Linked DNA regions of Caenorhabditis elegans. The protein of the gene in region 2 interacts with the protein of the main gene of each other region in a pairwise test. Each region holds a gene or a part of one and is shown on either strand. Other genes may lie near its edges. The genes, in order: sup-1 and unc-17.

Region 1 (6,966 bases), on a different chromosome or scaffold from region 2:
GAACCGGCTAAATTTCAGATTTGGGTGATCATTTTGATGGCGGTTCTCACAATCATATCGATCATCTAGTGTATCATTGGATGCATGTGCTATTGCTGCAGAAAGTAGTTGGGGGTACATCGAACTACTTGGAATTTTTGTAAAGAATATAATAAAGTGATTAAAGATTTGGTGGACAGGAGGGTGTCGGCTGCTTAGCATGTTGGCAATCCCGTGAAAAGTCGGCTGCAACAAAGGTGGCTTATAAAACGTCCGCTCTTTAACTCAACAGTTTTTCTGACCCGTGAGGTACCGGCTGCATTTTAGCTGTCCCGCGAGGTGTGGGCAGCAGCTAAAGTTACCCATTTTTTTTGGAATTTTTTGGAATATCGAATTTTCAGAATGTGACAATTGTTTTGAAATTATCGATTTTTCGGAATTTATCGATTTTTCGGAATATCGATTTTTCAGAAATTTTTATTTTTTGGTATTCAACAAGTTTTTATGGAATTAATTGTTTTCTTGCTGAAATAATATATTTTTCGGAATTCAGAGATTTTTTTGGTATTTCGATAAATCTGGAAAAATCGATAAATTCCGAAAATTGATAATTTTTTCGATTTATATTTATCGATTTTTTCCCAGAAATGTGAAATTGATATGTATTTTCAGAATTTTATTTCATAAAAAAATAGCAATTAATACAGAAAATTCGATAAAAGGTATTGTGGAAAAAGTACATGTTTGGAAAGCTTTTTGTTAGCAAATTTTATATAAATGCAATATTTTGTGACCGAGGGAATTATGCGAAACGGAAGGGGGGCGAAAGATTTTGAAAAATCGATTCTAAAAATATAAAACAAAAAAAAAATTGAGCCAAAGTATATAATTTTAAAAAATGTGGGCGGAGCTTAAAATGGGAATAAATCGAGTATCGGGAAATTAAAACTAAATTGGTTGGAGGTGTACATATCGATTTTTCTACTTGCGGCAGCAGATGCAACGGACAAGGGAGATGACGAAGGAGGCGATGAAGATGACTCCGAACAAGGCGAGGGTTACCCAGACCCATGTCTGAAAAAATTTATTTTTTTGAAAATATTTTGAAATGTGTTTTTTTTTAACTTTGTAACAAATATCTCAAAAATGGCAAGAGCTATAAAAAAGTTATAAACTAGCAAACTGTAGAAAATTAAATTTCCTACATTTTCTTAGTTGACAACTTTTTAATAGCTTTTGCCATTTTTGAGATATGAAAGCGCACAGGCAAAATTTCAAAAAAAAGCCTATGCCTATAAACCTATGCCTATGCCTAAGTCTAAGCCTAAGCCAAAGCCTAACCCTCTTAAAAAGTTACAAGAAGGTTTTTCCTTGCGCTTGGAGCGCAAAAGAAAAGAAAAAGAGCTATTTAGACTTAGGGTGCCCAACTGGAATAAAATATTGGAAATCCTTGACACACCGGCGGTATGGCGCGGCTTAAGCCTAAATAGCCACTTTTATCAAAATACATTTGAGCGAGGCGGTTGTAAACTATTCGTTTTTTAGCAAAAATAAAAAAAAACTTTATTTAAATTTAAAAATAAATATCATATGTTATCACACCTTAGAATATCCCGCCTTAATTTAGTAATCATTTTAGTTCATAAGTGTGAGAGAAAGAAAAATGGATTAATCATCGGAATTAAATATCATCAGAGTGATTATATTCATCAAAGGTCCCACTTTACTTGAGGGTTAACTTGATCGATATAAAATTCCTATCTCATGTGAAGAAAGGTTCAAATTCTGTACCTATGAATGCTGCCGATATTTGAATTCCTGTCTCATGGGAAGAAGGTCTTTCTTGTGGAAAGAACGGAGTTATAAAAAAATTTACGCAGGTACAGAATTTGAACTTTTCTTCCCATGAGATAGGAGTTTGTATATTGGCATTCTATAACTTTACTTTAAAAAAATCTCCAAAGGTTGCTCGCAAATATGTAGAGATTGCTCGCATCCCTTCAAATATTACAAAATTTCCAAGTTTCTTAGAAATAATCTTCATTTGGATTACTGAAAAATATCCACAGACTACTTTTGAGTTGCCTGAGAAGTTAGAGTAAAACGCAAAGCGAGCTCAAATGTATTTTGATAAAAGTGGCTATTTAGGCTTAAGCCGCGCCATACCGCCGGTGTGTCATAAGGATTTCCAATATTTTATTCCAGTTGGGCATCCTAGTATGTTTTTCGGGCCCTTAGGCTTAAGTGTGTCATAAGGATTTCCTATATTTTATTCCAGTTGGGCACCCTAAGTCTAAATAGCTCTTTTTCTTTTCTTTTGCACTCCAAGCGCAAGGAAAAACCTTCTTGTAACTTTTTAAGAGGGTTTCATATATTTTATTAAAATCGGGGCGAAGCCCTGATTTTAAATCCATATTGTTTTTTTTTTGTCTTCCTCTAGCCCTGCAAATAGGAAAGAGAATGTGTTCTTTCTCATGAAGTAAAAATCATCATAAAATCTTGAAAACTGAGAGCAGGAGGTAATATTTGAATATATTGGGTTGTAAATGTGTGTCTCGATGTGGGTGGGGTGGCGATGTGTCGGCAGCCAACCCTTCAACGAACTGTTTCTCCCGCCTGTATCTCCCTTCAAAGTGAGAATTGAGTTACAAAAATTTGAGGGAATATGAAAAGGTGTAAGGATTTCAAAAATATTAATTTTGAAACACCAGACCAAACCACTTTTTCTGGGCAAGAGGCAAAAAATTAATTTTTTGAAAAAATTTCAAACTGGCACAAAATTTTTTCAAAAATAAATTTTTCACAAATTGTTAGTAGATTTCATTTTTCATAAATATTGTTCATTGAACACAAAAAAGAAAACAAAGATTCATTAAAAAATGAGTGAAAAATCGCAAAAATTCGAAAAAATCAGTGCTGAAAAACTCGATTTTTTGGCGGTGCTGAAAAAAATTTTCACTAAAATTTTTTTGAAACTTAGTTTTTCGGATTTAGCGTCAAATTTTAAATCTATATAAAAAAACAAAATTGAAATTGATTTCAGATTGAGTGAATAATAAACGCTCAAAGTTGAAAAATGAACAACGCAAAAACGGCAGTAACTTGCTTCAAGGTCGGTTATCTCAGTGAGTTTTCACTCAATTTTCGAAATTTTTTTGCTTTATCGCTTTAGAAATATTTGTAATTTCATTTTTTTTCCTCAAAATCAAAATATCTCAAACGACCGCCATCCTACGAGAAGGGAAAAAAAAAGTTTTTGGAAAAAAAATCAAAAATTTTTTTTCTGCCTCGATTTTCAAAATGAAAAAATCACTTTTTCGGAATAATTTTTACTTTAAAATGTACCTACGATCTTTTTATACAACAATTTCACCTTGGAACCAAAGATTTCTCAAAGACAACAGCGCACGAAGCGGTGGTTTGCGAAAAAACACGAAAAAAACACACCGAAGTGGGAGGGGGGAGGTCAAAATTGCGAATTTGACTTTGGAGCTCTCTAAAAGAGCTCATAGCTGATGGATCTGGACGATTTGTATGTTTTTCGACGCATCTCGTCGAGTACTATAAACTGCTAAAAAATCTCGTAAAAATCGCAAAAACTCGAATTTTCCTGCAAACAAAAGAGGCGAAAAATGAGAAAAAAAACGTGATTTTTGGAGAATACTCGAAAATACTCTTCATATCTCGGCTCAAATAGCTCCAATCTTTCTGAAATAAAGCATACAGAGATGGGGCAAGCTTCTTGAAGAGACAGCAAAAAACCGCATCAAAATCCATCCACCCACCGTCAAGTTACACGCGCGTTTTCAGAGCGAACGAAAAACAGGGCATAAAAAAATTTAGACGCCCGCACCCGGACTCGAACTTTTGTCGGATTTTGAAGCTTAATATCTCGGCTCCTGTAAATCGAAATTGGCTCAAAATTTACAAGAAACCTTATCCTGCTACGATCCTCCTGTCATTAAATTTTCGTGAGCTTAGACCGAAAACTGACAAAACGCCAAACTTTCAAATTTTAAAAAATAGTTGAGGGTCATTTTGAAAATACCTTAAGCTCCATAACTCGGCGAGTTTTGATGGAATCAATTTGAAATTTTACACGGAAGCTTCTTAGTGGCCTATACGTCTCTGTGTTAAATTTCGCTTTGATCGGCCAACGGGAACCCTTTGAAAAATGAAAAAAACGCTGTAATCCTAACCCTAAATGCTAACGCTCCCCCACTGACGCCAAACCTAAGTCTAACACCATTAAATTCCCGAAAAAATGCCGAAAAATAAAAAATTGGCAAACAGACAAATTTTTAAAAAGTCTCGAGAGCCATTTTGAAAACACCTTAAGTTTCTATCGAATCAACCTGAAACTTCAGAAGCTTTTTGGTGACCTACACGTCTCTCCGTAAAAATTCGCGTTGATCGGCCAACAGGAACCCCTTGAAAAATCAAAAAAAACCGGAAAATCGTAAGCTTAAGTAGCTAACGCTCGCCACTGACGCCAAGCCTATGGCTAAACCTAAGCCTAAGCCTGAGACTAAGCTCTACCCTAACCCTAACCCTAAGCCTAAGCCTACGCCTAAGCCTAGGCCTAAGCCTAAGCCTAAGCCTAAGCCTAAGCTTAAGCCTAAGCTAAAGCCTGAGCCCGGAAATTAAACTTCTTTCAAAACTGTACCTGGAGGTTAAAGCAGCATTCCTTGTTGAGTTCTCCACAGCATTTCCAGTAGTGGAAGATGCTAGAGGTTCCGCATTTGGTTCCGACCAATGGTACCGGGCAATATGTGTCTCCGTCCTAGAATTTTTTAGAAATTTTGAAGATATATAAGAGGAAAAGTACCTTTGTAGTGGTGACCTCATTCACTGCACTTTTCACGTCGTGGTCCACGTTGGCAGCCATTGCGAGTCCAATGCACGCGGCGAGTGCGATGTAGGACATCATTTTGATAGGTTAAGCTGGAATTTTGGATTTTAGAATATTGTGCAAAACGAAAAGCGTTTGGAATTCTTAGGGAGAGAAAAAAAATTAGAAATTTTGGCGGGAAATTGATATTTTATGAGAAAATCTTTGGCGGGAAACTTAAATTTTCTCATAAAACTGTGGCTCGGAACTAAAATTTTCAATTTAAAAATTTGGCGAGAAACTCAAGTTTTTTGAAAAATATTTCTGGCGGGAAATTCAAATATTCTCAAAAAAATCTTCGGCGGGAAATTCAAATTTTCTGACAAAAAATGGAGGGAAATTCAAATTTTATGAGAACATCTTTGGCGGGAAATTCAAATTATCTCTGAGAAAATTGGAGGGAAATTTAACTTTTCTTAGAAAAATTGTTGGAGGGAAATTCAAATTTTCTGACAAAATCTTTGGCCGGAAATTGAAATTATCTCCTAACAAGTTTGGCGGGTAATTCAATTTTTCTGAGAAAAAAATTGGCGGGAAATTCAAATTATTTCATAAAAATATGGCTAGGAATTAAAATTTTCTTTTTAAAAATTTGGCGCGAAATTTAAATTTTCTGAGAAAATCTTTGGCGGGAAATTCAAATTTTCTGACAAAATCTTTGGCCGGAAATTCAAATTTTTCAGAAAAATTTTGGCGGGAAATTCAAATTTCCTGAGAAAAAATTGGCGGGAAATTCGAATTTTAACGAATTTTAAACGAATTTCAACGAATTTAACGAATTTTAAAGTAGCTATAAAAACGTATTAACAAATAAATTATAGAAAATTTTATGTACAATAACTTTTCGGTAAGAAATTCTGGTTTACACCCAGAAATCCAAGATTTCCAAAACAACAACTACCACAGGAAAATAAAGAAAAAAAATAGGGAAAAAAAGAAAGTTGTGGTGTCGGGAAGGGGAGGAAACAAAATTTGAAGTTAGCCATCCGTCGGTTGGTAGTTTCGGAAAAAAAGAGAGATAATTTCACAAGATTGTGCGTGTGGATGACACGAGACATTGTGTCAACCGAAGAGATGCAGAAATTGGGGAGGAGGCGGTCAGAGATTAAAGGGAGGGGACCCAAATGTGCTTTCTGGTCTTTTTCTTTTTGTGACAGAGGGCGCTTCTTTTAACAGATAGTACTTATCAAAACGATGACGTCACGGGGGTGGTATATCACGAGAATTTTTGGAAAAAAAAAGGGGAAAGGGAAATTAAAAACCGGTATTTTTGTTTATGTTGTTTTGGTCATTGACCAGTTACATAAATTATAATATATGTTTTTTTTTTTGAAAAAAAAAATTAAATTTATTAACCAAAAGTACAACAACTTGGAAACAAATTTGAAATTCAGATTTTTTCTAGAATTTTAGAAGATTTTATAAAATTTTTATGGAAGAAAAAAAAACTTTAGAAATCTGAAAAAAAAATCTAATTTTTTTTGGAAGCTTCAGAGCAGTGGTGGGCGGCAAACGATTTTTCCGGCAAATCGGCAAATCGGTAAACTGCCGGAAATGAAATTTCCGGCAAACCCGCAAATTGCCGATTTGCCGAATTAGCCTAAAATTCTCGGCAAAGAATGGTATTGCACATTTTTGTTTTTAACACTGCAACTTTTTCCTCACGAGGGACGAGGCAAAAAGGTTTCTAGGCCTTGGCCGAGTCCCCGACAAATTTCAGCGGCCATTTATCTTGCTTTGTTTTCCGCCTGTTTTCTTTTGTTTTTCACCAATTTTTTCCGTTTTTTCTTATTAAAACTATTAAATAAATATTTTTTGCAGATGCTAAAACAATTTCCAAGTAAAAAAATTATGTATTCAGTGGGCAAGTAGCGGTGAAAGTGGTCAATGTAATATGATGGATTACGGGAATACCAAACCTAAACTTTTTTCCAAACATGATACATATGCTGCTTAAATGCTGAAACTACTTGATTTTCATAACGAGACCGCTGAAAAAGTTTTGGGGTTTTCAAAATTCAACTTTTTTGGTGAAAAAGTAGAGATTTTCGCACAAAATGTTGAATTTTAAAAATCTCAAAACTTTTTCAGCGGTC
Region 2 (8,207 bases):
AAAGGGGAATTTCGAAGGAGGTGGAAGCTTCTTCTTCTCCCCGAGCACACACACACATCCTCTCTTCAAAATCTTTAAGAAATAGTGCGTGTGAATGACTAGACGCTGAAGCTAACTTGGTTTCCGCGAACAATCCCAATCAGTGCCTGTGCCGAGGCTTCGGAGAAGAAGAGATTGACGTCGTCTTTTTCTTTTTTTGTGAAACAGAATAAAAAAGAATACGAAATGGACTTTTTCACACATTTTCGTTACTTTTCCAGAAAAAAACGAAGCTCTAGCCATGGAAGTTTGAATTGAAAACCTAAACCCCGATGTGTATTCATTTGAGCTTAAGCCTAAGCCTAATTCTACGCCTAAGCATAAGCCTAAGCCTATGTTCAAGCCTAAGCCAAATTGTAGAACGTTACCAAAAGATCAAACCTATTTTTCCTACAGAAAAGGTCTAATGATAACTGTTAAGCGAGAGACAAGGAGAGATATATATCAAAAACTAGCCCAAACTGTGATTAACATCTATTAACTGACCTCAAAAAAAAAAATAGTAGAGATTAAATACTGCTCAAAAAGTTTCTTGGAAAAGTAAATTGTTAGGTTTCTGGGGCCTGTAAAACTGGACCGAGTTTTGAAGAATTTTTTTAACTTTTCAAAGTTTGGCGTCACTGAAAGCTTTATATTGTACATGTTCCACCAATTTTCTTTTGTATCCGTTTTTTCTGTCTCAAAACGGAGCTCGAGCCCATGACGTGTGGATACCGTGAGAATCCGCCCAATTCCTTCACATCGATCTCATATTTCTTTCCCAGTTTATATTGAATTCCCGTTGAATTGCGGCTTTGCAGGGGAGAAGATGTGCGTCTTTATATTTTTTTTTCTATCCTTACCCGCCGTGAATCCGGCTCGAATTGAGCCAATTTTTATGAATAGTAGAGCTAATTGACTTCGTCTCCCTAGAATTGATGAGGTAAAGCTCGTGGGGAGATATGGAGATTTTTCGATTTTTTTTCCAGTAATTTTCAGTTCAAAATTTGAGCTTTTGAGCAGGAGTTTTGAGATTTGTGCCAAAATTTCCTATTATTTTTTCAAATATTTTTGCTTTTGTAAAAAAGGTGTAGTAGAAGTTTTGTAGTGCCACTATTTTTTTTTTGAAAATTATGTTTTGGCGGAAAGTTCTTTAAAAAAGTTAATCAAAATTTTTGGCGCTTTAGTCAAATTAATTTTCTGGCAAAAATATTAGTAATTTTGGCGTGAGTTCAATTTTCCCATTCTTAAAATTTCACACAATTAAGAATTTTAAGATTTGGGTTTTTTTTTCAACAAAAAATCAAATATTTACATGAAAATTCGGCGGGAAATAAAAAAAAATATTCCGATTCAATGTGTGAATAACTTTTTGCGGGGAATTCAAATTTGCATTATTTAAACTTTTTTTAAGCTCGAAAAATTGAAATTCTTAAATAAATAAATAAAATTTTCCTCGAATTTTGAATGTTTCGATTTTTTAGCGTTATTTTTTCAAAATTTCCACTAAAACTCTAGTTCTAAAGTTCTAAAACTTTAAAAACTTCCTAATGTTGTGGTCTTGTGTTTTTTTGGCAGCGATTTCCAAATTTCTGAAATTCCAACAAAAAAACCACTACGTCAGTTTGCATATCCAACCCCCCCCCCCCCCCCCCCCCCTCTGAGCCAATCAATCATGTGCATTTTGAATTGGCGCCAAGGCAATCTTCGTAAAAAATAACAATAGAGTCATCCCTCAGAACAGAAAAGAAACCCGCCCGGGGGCTCAAATACACATGTCATTTTTCTTTTTTCGCCTGATTTTTAGCCTAAATTAGTGTTTAGCAATTTTTTAAGGTAACTCGGTGGAGTCATTTGAACTTTTTAAACTAAAATTTCAGAAAAAATTCTTTTTTTTTGTCAAAAAATAATTTTCCCGCCGGAATTTTTCAAAAAAATAATTTTTATTTTATTTTTCAAGTTCCTTGTTTCCTCTTTATTTTTTTATTTTGCCCCCAAAAGTTTTACACTAAAATATTTAATTTTCAGGTAATTCATCGAAAGTCTTTCTATTTTCCGCATCTCTTGTTCAAAATAGTAACCTACTAAAACAAGGTGAGCCTAATTTTTTTTAAATACTGTATTTCCAAAAAGTAGTCATAAGATATATTATGAAAATTTTCAAGAATCTTCGTACAATATTTTGGCAGAAAATTTGAATTTTGAAATTTTTTGGTAAATTTTCCTGGAATATTTGAAATTAATTTTTGGCGCCAGTTTCAAAACATAAAATTTAGAATTTTTTTTAAGTTTTGAAAAAAATTTTTCAACAAATTTTGGCGGTAATTTGTGAATTTCTTTTTTTTTAAACATATTTCGAAAAAATTATTTTGACATAATTTTTTCAATAAAAAAATTTGCACAAAGTTTAAAATAAGTTGTTCAAAAAATTTTCTAGAATCTCGATTTAAAAAATTTCTGACGAATATGCCGCAAACTTACATATTAGAAAAAAAATTGGCGGGAAATAAAAGAACACAGAATTTTTCATAAAATTTTAAATAATTTGGCGCAAAGTCTAAAAATTGTTCTGAAAAAGATGTTTTTTCGACAAAATTCGAATTTATCAATTTTCTAAAAAAATATTTCCAAAGAAAGAGTTTAGCGCGAATTTGAAATTTTTGAAAAAGTGACAGTTGTCATACTCAATTATTTGCAAAAAATTTTTAAATAAGACAATTGGCGCGAAGTTCAAAAATTCCAGAAAAAATTTTGCGCAAAAGTCAAAATTTTGAGAGTTTTTGGCGCGAAATTCATATTTTTCAAAAAAAAATTGGCGGGCTATACAAAAATTCAAAAAAATTCGGCAAAAAATACAAAATTTTTAACATGTTCAACAACTAAACCACCAAGAAGTTCCTCTTTAAAAAAATTTCCAAAAATTACAAACTCCTCCTGTATTACCTGTATTTCCACTACCTTTCTTATATTAATTTTCTCAATTTTCTCCTGTATTTCTCTGTCTCTCCCCTCCCCAACAAGCCTTATACGTGTGTTTTTCCTCAAAACTGGGCGTGGTCTCGGCGGCCCTCTGGCGATCTGTGTCTCCCCTAAGTCTCTCTCTCCCCCATACAATGGGTCTCACGGCTCTGTTACGCGCCGAGCCACGTCATAAGTTTTCTTTAAATTTTTTTTTGTTTGAGAAAAAGCCCCTAGGCCAGCCCGAAGCCCAAAAAATTTAGAAAAAATAAAATATTCCAGGGGGAGAGAGAGAGATGGGCTTCAACGTGCCCGTCATCAACCGAGACTCGGAGATCCTCAAAGCGGACGCCAAAAAGTGGCTTGAGCAGCAGGATAATCAGAAGAAATGCGTCCTGGTGATAGTCTCCATAGCCCTACTACTCGACAATATGCTCTACATGGTCATTGTCCCAATTATTCCGAAATACCTTCGGGACATTCATAACTACCAGGTGACCTTCGAGGGATACCACAATGAGACAAGCCAGCTTGCAAACGGGACCTATCTGGTAAGAGAGGTCGGCGGAAGGATTAACTTTTTGGATGAGGAGCTGGAATTGGGATGGCTCTTCGCTTCAAAAGCTTTGCTGCAAATTTTTGTGAATCCGTTTTCGGGATATATTATCGATCGAGTTGGATACGAGATTCCGATGATTTTGGGGCTATGCACCATGTTTTTCTCCACGGCTATATTTGCTCTTGGAAAGAGCTATGGAGTTTTGCTTTTTGCAAGATCGTTGCAGGTTAGTTTTTTTCTTTCTTTTTAAGAATAAAGTGTTAAGCAGACAAACTGTCAGCTGACTTTAAAACTATAGAAAAAAACCGCTGCTCAACTTTAAATTCATCTAAAAAAATATTTTTTTAAGTATCAAATTGTTCTGGAAGGTTTTTAGACTTTTTGAAGCTTCTGGAAATTTCAAGAAATTTTTGGATTTTTTTCAGAATTTTCTGGAGAAACTTTTAATGTTTTTGAAAAAAATTCCTGATGTTTAATCATCGAAATTTTCTAATAGCTACAAGAAATTTAGAGGTTTCGGAAAATTGTCCAGAGTCTTCAAAATGTCTAGAATTTTCAATTTTATACTACTTCCTAAAACGTTCTGGTTCAGAAATGCCTAAAATTTTTGTTTGAATCTTTTCAAAAACACTCTAAAGCTTTCTGGAATATTTTAAGATTTTTTCAAACCTTCCCTAGTTTTCTAGAAAATTTTAAAAAGCTTCTACAAAGTTCTGGAAATTTGTAAAAAATTTTTAAAAAATTAAAAAGTTTTTAACGTCTCAGAAAATTGTGAACAAATTATTGAAATTTTTTAAAGACTTTAAAAAATTCCAAATGGCTTCAGAACATCTTAGAAAATTAAATAAAATTCTGGGAAATTCTAGAATTTTTTTTTAGTTTTAGAAAATTTCCCCATTCCTGGCATTAAATCTTCCCCCAACGCCAACTTTTTCCCAAGAAAACTTCAACTCGCCGAGCAATTTAATTTGGTTCCTCTTCCTGCTCCTGCCATCTTTCCAATTTCTTACGAAAACCGGTCATCATTCTGTATATAAAATTCGAATCTTTTCCCTTCCATTTTTTTCGCGTTGCTCTTCTAATGTCGGAAACGGAAAGGATTTCTGAAATGCTCTGCGGCTCCGAGTCTTTTCGCACTATTTCCCAGCCGGGCGTCGAACGACTTCGTGCTAATTAACAACAGCAAAGAAGAAGCTGGCGAAAAGAGAAGGAGCTCGCAGAGCAGTAGGAAAATGAGATGGTCCCGGGTGATAAGTACGTCCCCCTTTCGGTGTCCCCTGGGACAGGCGGGGACATCTCCGTAGGTGGTAACATGGACAAATTGGAGATGGAAAGTAGAGGAGAAGAAGTTGTTGGGAAAAGTTTTCAACAAAACTTGGAAGAATTTCAAAATCGGAGCCATGGAGAAGTAGAATCCCTAAACAAAATCTAAAATAATCTAAAAAATTGTGAAAATTCTAGAATGTTCTTGAAAACTTTGAACATCCATTAAAAAGTTGCTGATTTTTCTTTAAACAATTCTGGAATTTAGAAAAATTTTTAAAAAATTTATAGAACTTTTTAGAAAGCTTCAAAAACCTCTGGAAATTCTGGAAACTTTTTGGGATATTACCTGGGAGTTCAGGAAATCTTAGAAAATTTAGAAAAAATTCTGGAAATTTTCGATAATTTTAGAGAGTTTTAGAAAATATTGAATAGCTCTCAAAATTGAAGAGAATTTAGAAATGTTCTAGAAAGTTTCTGGAAATATCAACAAATTTGTGAAAATTCCTTGAATTTACTGAAGTTTAAGGAGTTTTTAAGAGATTTTCAAAGACGTCGGCAATATTTGTATAAATTTCAAAACTCTTAAAAACTGAAACTTTTTGAAAATTTCTAAAAAAAATTTCAGGGCTTCGGCTCAGCGTTCGCCGATACTTCCGGTCTTGCCATGATCGCCGATCGATTCACCGAAGAAAACGAGAGATCAGCGGCACTTGGAATCGCCTTAGCCTTCATCTCGTTCGGGTGCCTAGTTGCTCCACCATTTGGCTCCGTATTGTACTCACTCGCCGGAAAACCCGTACCTTTCCTGATTCTGTCATTTGTCTGTTTGGCTGATGCTATTGCAGTTTTTATGGTGATCAATCCCCATCGGAGAGGCACTGATTCTCATGGAGAGAAGGTTCAAGGTATGGGTTATACGTTTAAAAATTTTAGGATTATTAAAAGTGGTGTAGTCGAAATTTTTTATTGATTTACTAGACTCAAAATTGTCTGAAAACACCGAATTTCATAATGAAACTTCTTTAAAACTTTTCAAAAAAAAAGAGGTTATGTTGGCTTAAAAATTAACCAACAAAGAGTTAAAATTTGAAATTTCGCCAACTTGTCAACGTCGCAGCAGCTGGGAACTAACTTTTTTGAAATCACCAATATACTTTTGATAAATAAGTCAACTATCTTGCTTTTCAAATCAATTTAGGCGCATTTAATGTCGATGGATCACCAGAAGTTACCAAATTTTGCCAAATCTGGTGATCCATATGTTCCTTAAATGTTCCTAAATCGAATATCAACTTGTGTATCCAAAATTAGACGGTGATTTTAAAATAAGTTAGTTTCCAATCGTTGCGACATTGACAAACCTGTCAAATTTGAAATTGTAACAAGTTTTACGTCATTTTTAAGCCGCCATAACTTTGTTTTGAGAAGAAGTTTCATTATGAAATTCGGTGTTTTCAGACACAGTTTAAAGTTTAAAAAAGCAATAAAAAATGTCCACTACACCGCCTTTAACGTCTAAAAAAGCCGAAGAGTTTAAAAGAATGCTAAAATGTTCAGCTTGTCGGTTCCTTTCAGCAATTTTGACAATGTTCTTTTCTAGAAACTTCCGCAGTAAAATAATTAAGATTTTGAGAACTTTTAGACGCTTTTCAAATTTTATAATATTTTGAAAATTCAGCGCCCTGATCATTTTTAGAACTTTCAGTACACAGAAAGTTCATTTCCGATAACTCAGCGATGTTACAGTTATCAAATTGGAAAATTTTTCAGTTTTTTCTGCAATTTTCAAGGCTTTCTCGGCGATTTCAGAGAAAAATTGTGAAGAATTTGAATGTGACAAATCTCATATATTTTCGACAGCTCGATGGTATTTCAGTTCTTAAATTTGAGAGTTTTTCGGAAAATTTTGATTTCATCTTCCAGAATTAGACATTTCCTCATCAAGGTCCGAACCGAGCTTTCCAAAAATATAAATTTAGCACTTTCGGCATTTTAAGCGATTTCGGCAACTTACTAAAAAAAACTTTGAAATTTTAAGAAAAATTATTACCACAATGTCCGACTCTACAACTTTCAAACAGATAGAAATTTACTCACTAGGGAATGGTCAGCTTAGGGGTGAGGTACCTAGAGACGCCACATATGCCAAACGGAAGCTGAGATCATTGGCTACAAGAATATGCTTTCAAATTCTGCAACGGACCTCTGGGAGTCTGGAAATTCTTGTCTGAAATTATGCTTTTGAATGCTCGAAAGTGGTAAGAATTTAGAATTTATTACAGAAAAACGTTTAATTAATAAAATTAGTTTTATACTTGAAACAAGTACTGTATGCACTGTATCAAAACACATTTTCATCTTTTCTAGGTATTCAACTTCACGTTTTTCTGTAATAAATTCTAAATTCTTACCACTTTCGAGCATTCAAAAGCATGATTTCAGACAAGAATTTCCAGACTCCCAGAGGTCCGTTGCAGAATTCGAAAGCATATTCTTGTAGCCAATGATCTCAGCTTCCGTTTGGCATATGTGGCGTCTCTAGGTACCTCACCCCTAAGCTGACCATTCCCTAGTCAAAACGGTACCTGCCCAAACTCAAACGTTTCTTTCCAGGAACCCCAATGTGGCGTCTCTTCATGGATCCCTTCATCGCTTGCTGCTCCGGAGCCCTCATCATGGCCAACGTCTCTCTCGCCTTCCTCGAGCCCACCATCACAACCTGGATGTCCGAAATGATGCCAGACACTCCTGGCTGGTTGGTCGGAGTCATCTGGCTCCCACCATTCTTTCCACACGTTCTCGGAGTCTATGTGACCGTCAAAATGCTCAGGGCGTTCCCCCACCACACATGGGCGATTGCTATGGTTGGGTTGGCTATGGAGGGAATCGCGTGTTTTGCAATCCCCTATACCACATCGGTGATGCAACTTGTCATCCCGCTCTCTTTTGTATGCTTCGGAATCGCCTTGATCGACACCTCGCTCCTCCCGATGCTTGGACACCTTGTGGACACCCGCCACGTTTCGGTTTACGGATCCGTCTACGCGATCGCTGACATTTCGTACTCGTTGGCTTACGCCTTTGGACCCATCATTGCCGGATGGATTGTGACCAACTGGGGATTCACCGCCCTCAACATCATAATCTTCGCCACCAACGTCACCTACGCCCCAGTTTTATTCCTACTGCGGAAAGTTCACTCCTACGACACCCTCGGCGCCAAGGGTGACACCGCCGAAATGACACAGCTCAACTCATCGGCTCCAGCTGGCGGATACAATGGGAAGCCTGAAGCAACTACAGCGGAATCCTATCAAGGATGGGAAGATCAGCAGTCGTACCAGAATCAGGCACAGATCCCGAACCACGCCGTGTCGTTCCAGGATTCAAGGCCCCAAGCCGAATT

What was found.
Region 1: the proteins of unc-17 (region 2) and sup-1 interact in a protein complementation assay, tested with the Caenorhabditis elegans proteins (one study listed by BioGRID).

The regions. Positions count from the first base shown.
Region 1 is NC_003281.10:11,732,705-11,739,670, forward strand, and holds sup-1 (Protein SUP-1), read right to left. Parts: upstream 4,924-6,966; 5' UTR 4,910-4,923; coding exon 4,808-4,909; intron 4,763-4,807; coding exon 4,646-4,762; intron 1,238-4,645; exon of another isoform or gene 1,115-1,237; intron 1,054-1,114; coding exon 961-1,053; 3' UTR 641-960; downstream 1-640. Other genes in the region: Y41C4A.21 (UPF0506 domain-containing protein), read left to right, coding at 19-69. UniProt on the Caenorhabditis elegans protein: May be involved in trafficking or stabilization of the vesicular acetylcholine transporter unc-17.
Region 2 is NC_003282.8:3,618,537-3,626,743, reverse strand, and holds the start of unc-17 (Vesicular acetylcholine transporter unc-17), read left to right. Parts: upstream 1-2,044; 5' UTR 2,045-2,112; intron 2,113-3,258; 5' UTR 3,259-3,272; coding exon 3,273-3,761; intron 3,762-5,426; coding exon 5,427-5,706; intron 5,707-7,414; coding exon 7,415-8,207. UniProt on the Caenorhabditis elegans protein: Involved in acetylcholine transport into synaptic vesicles.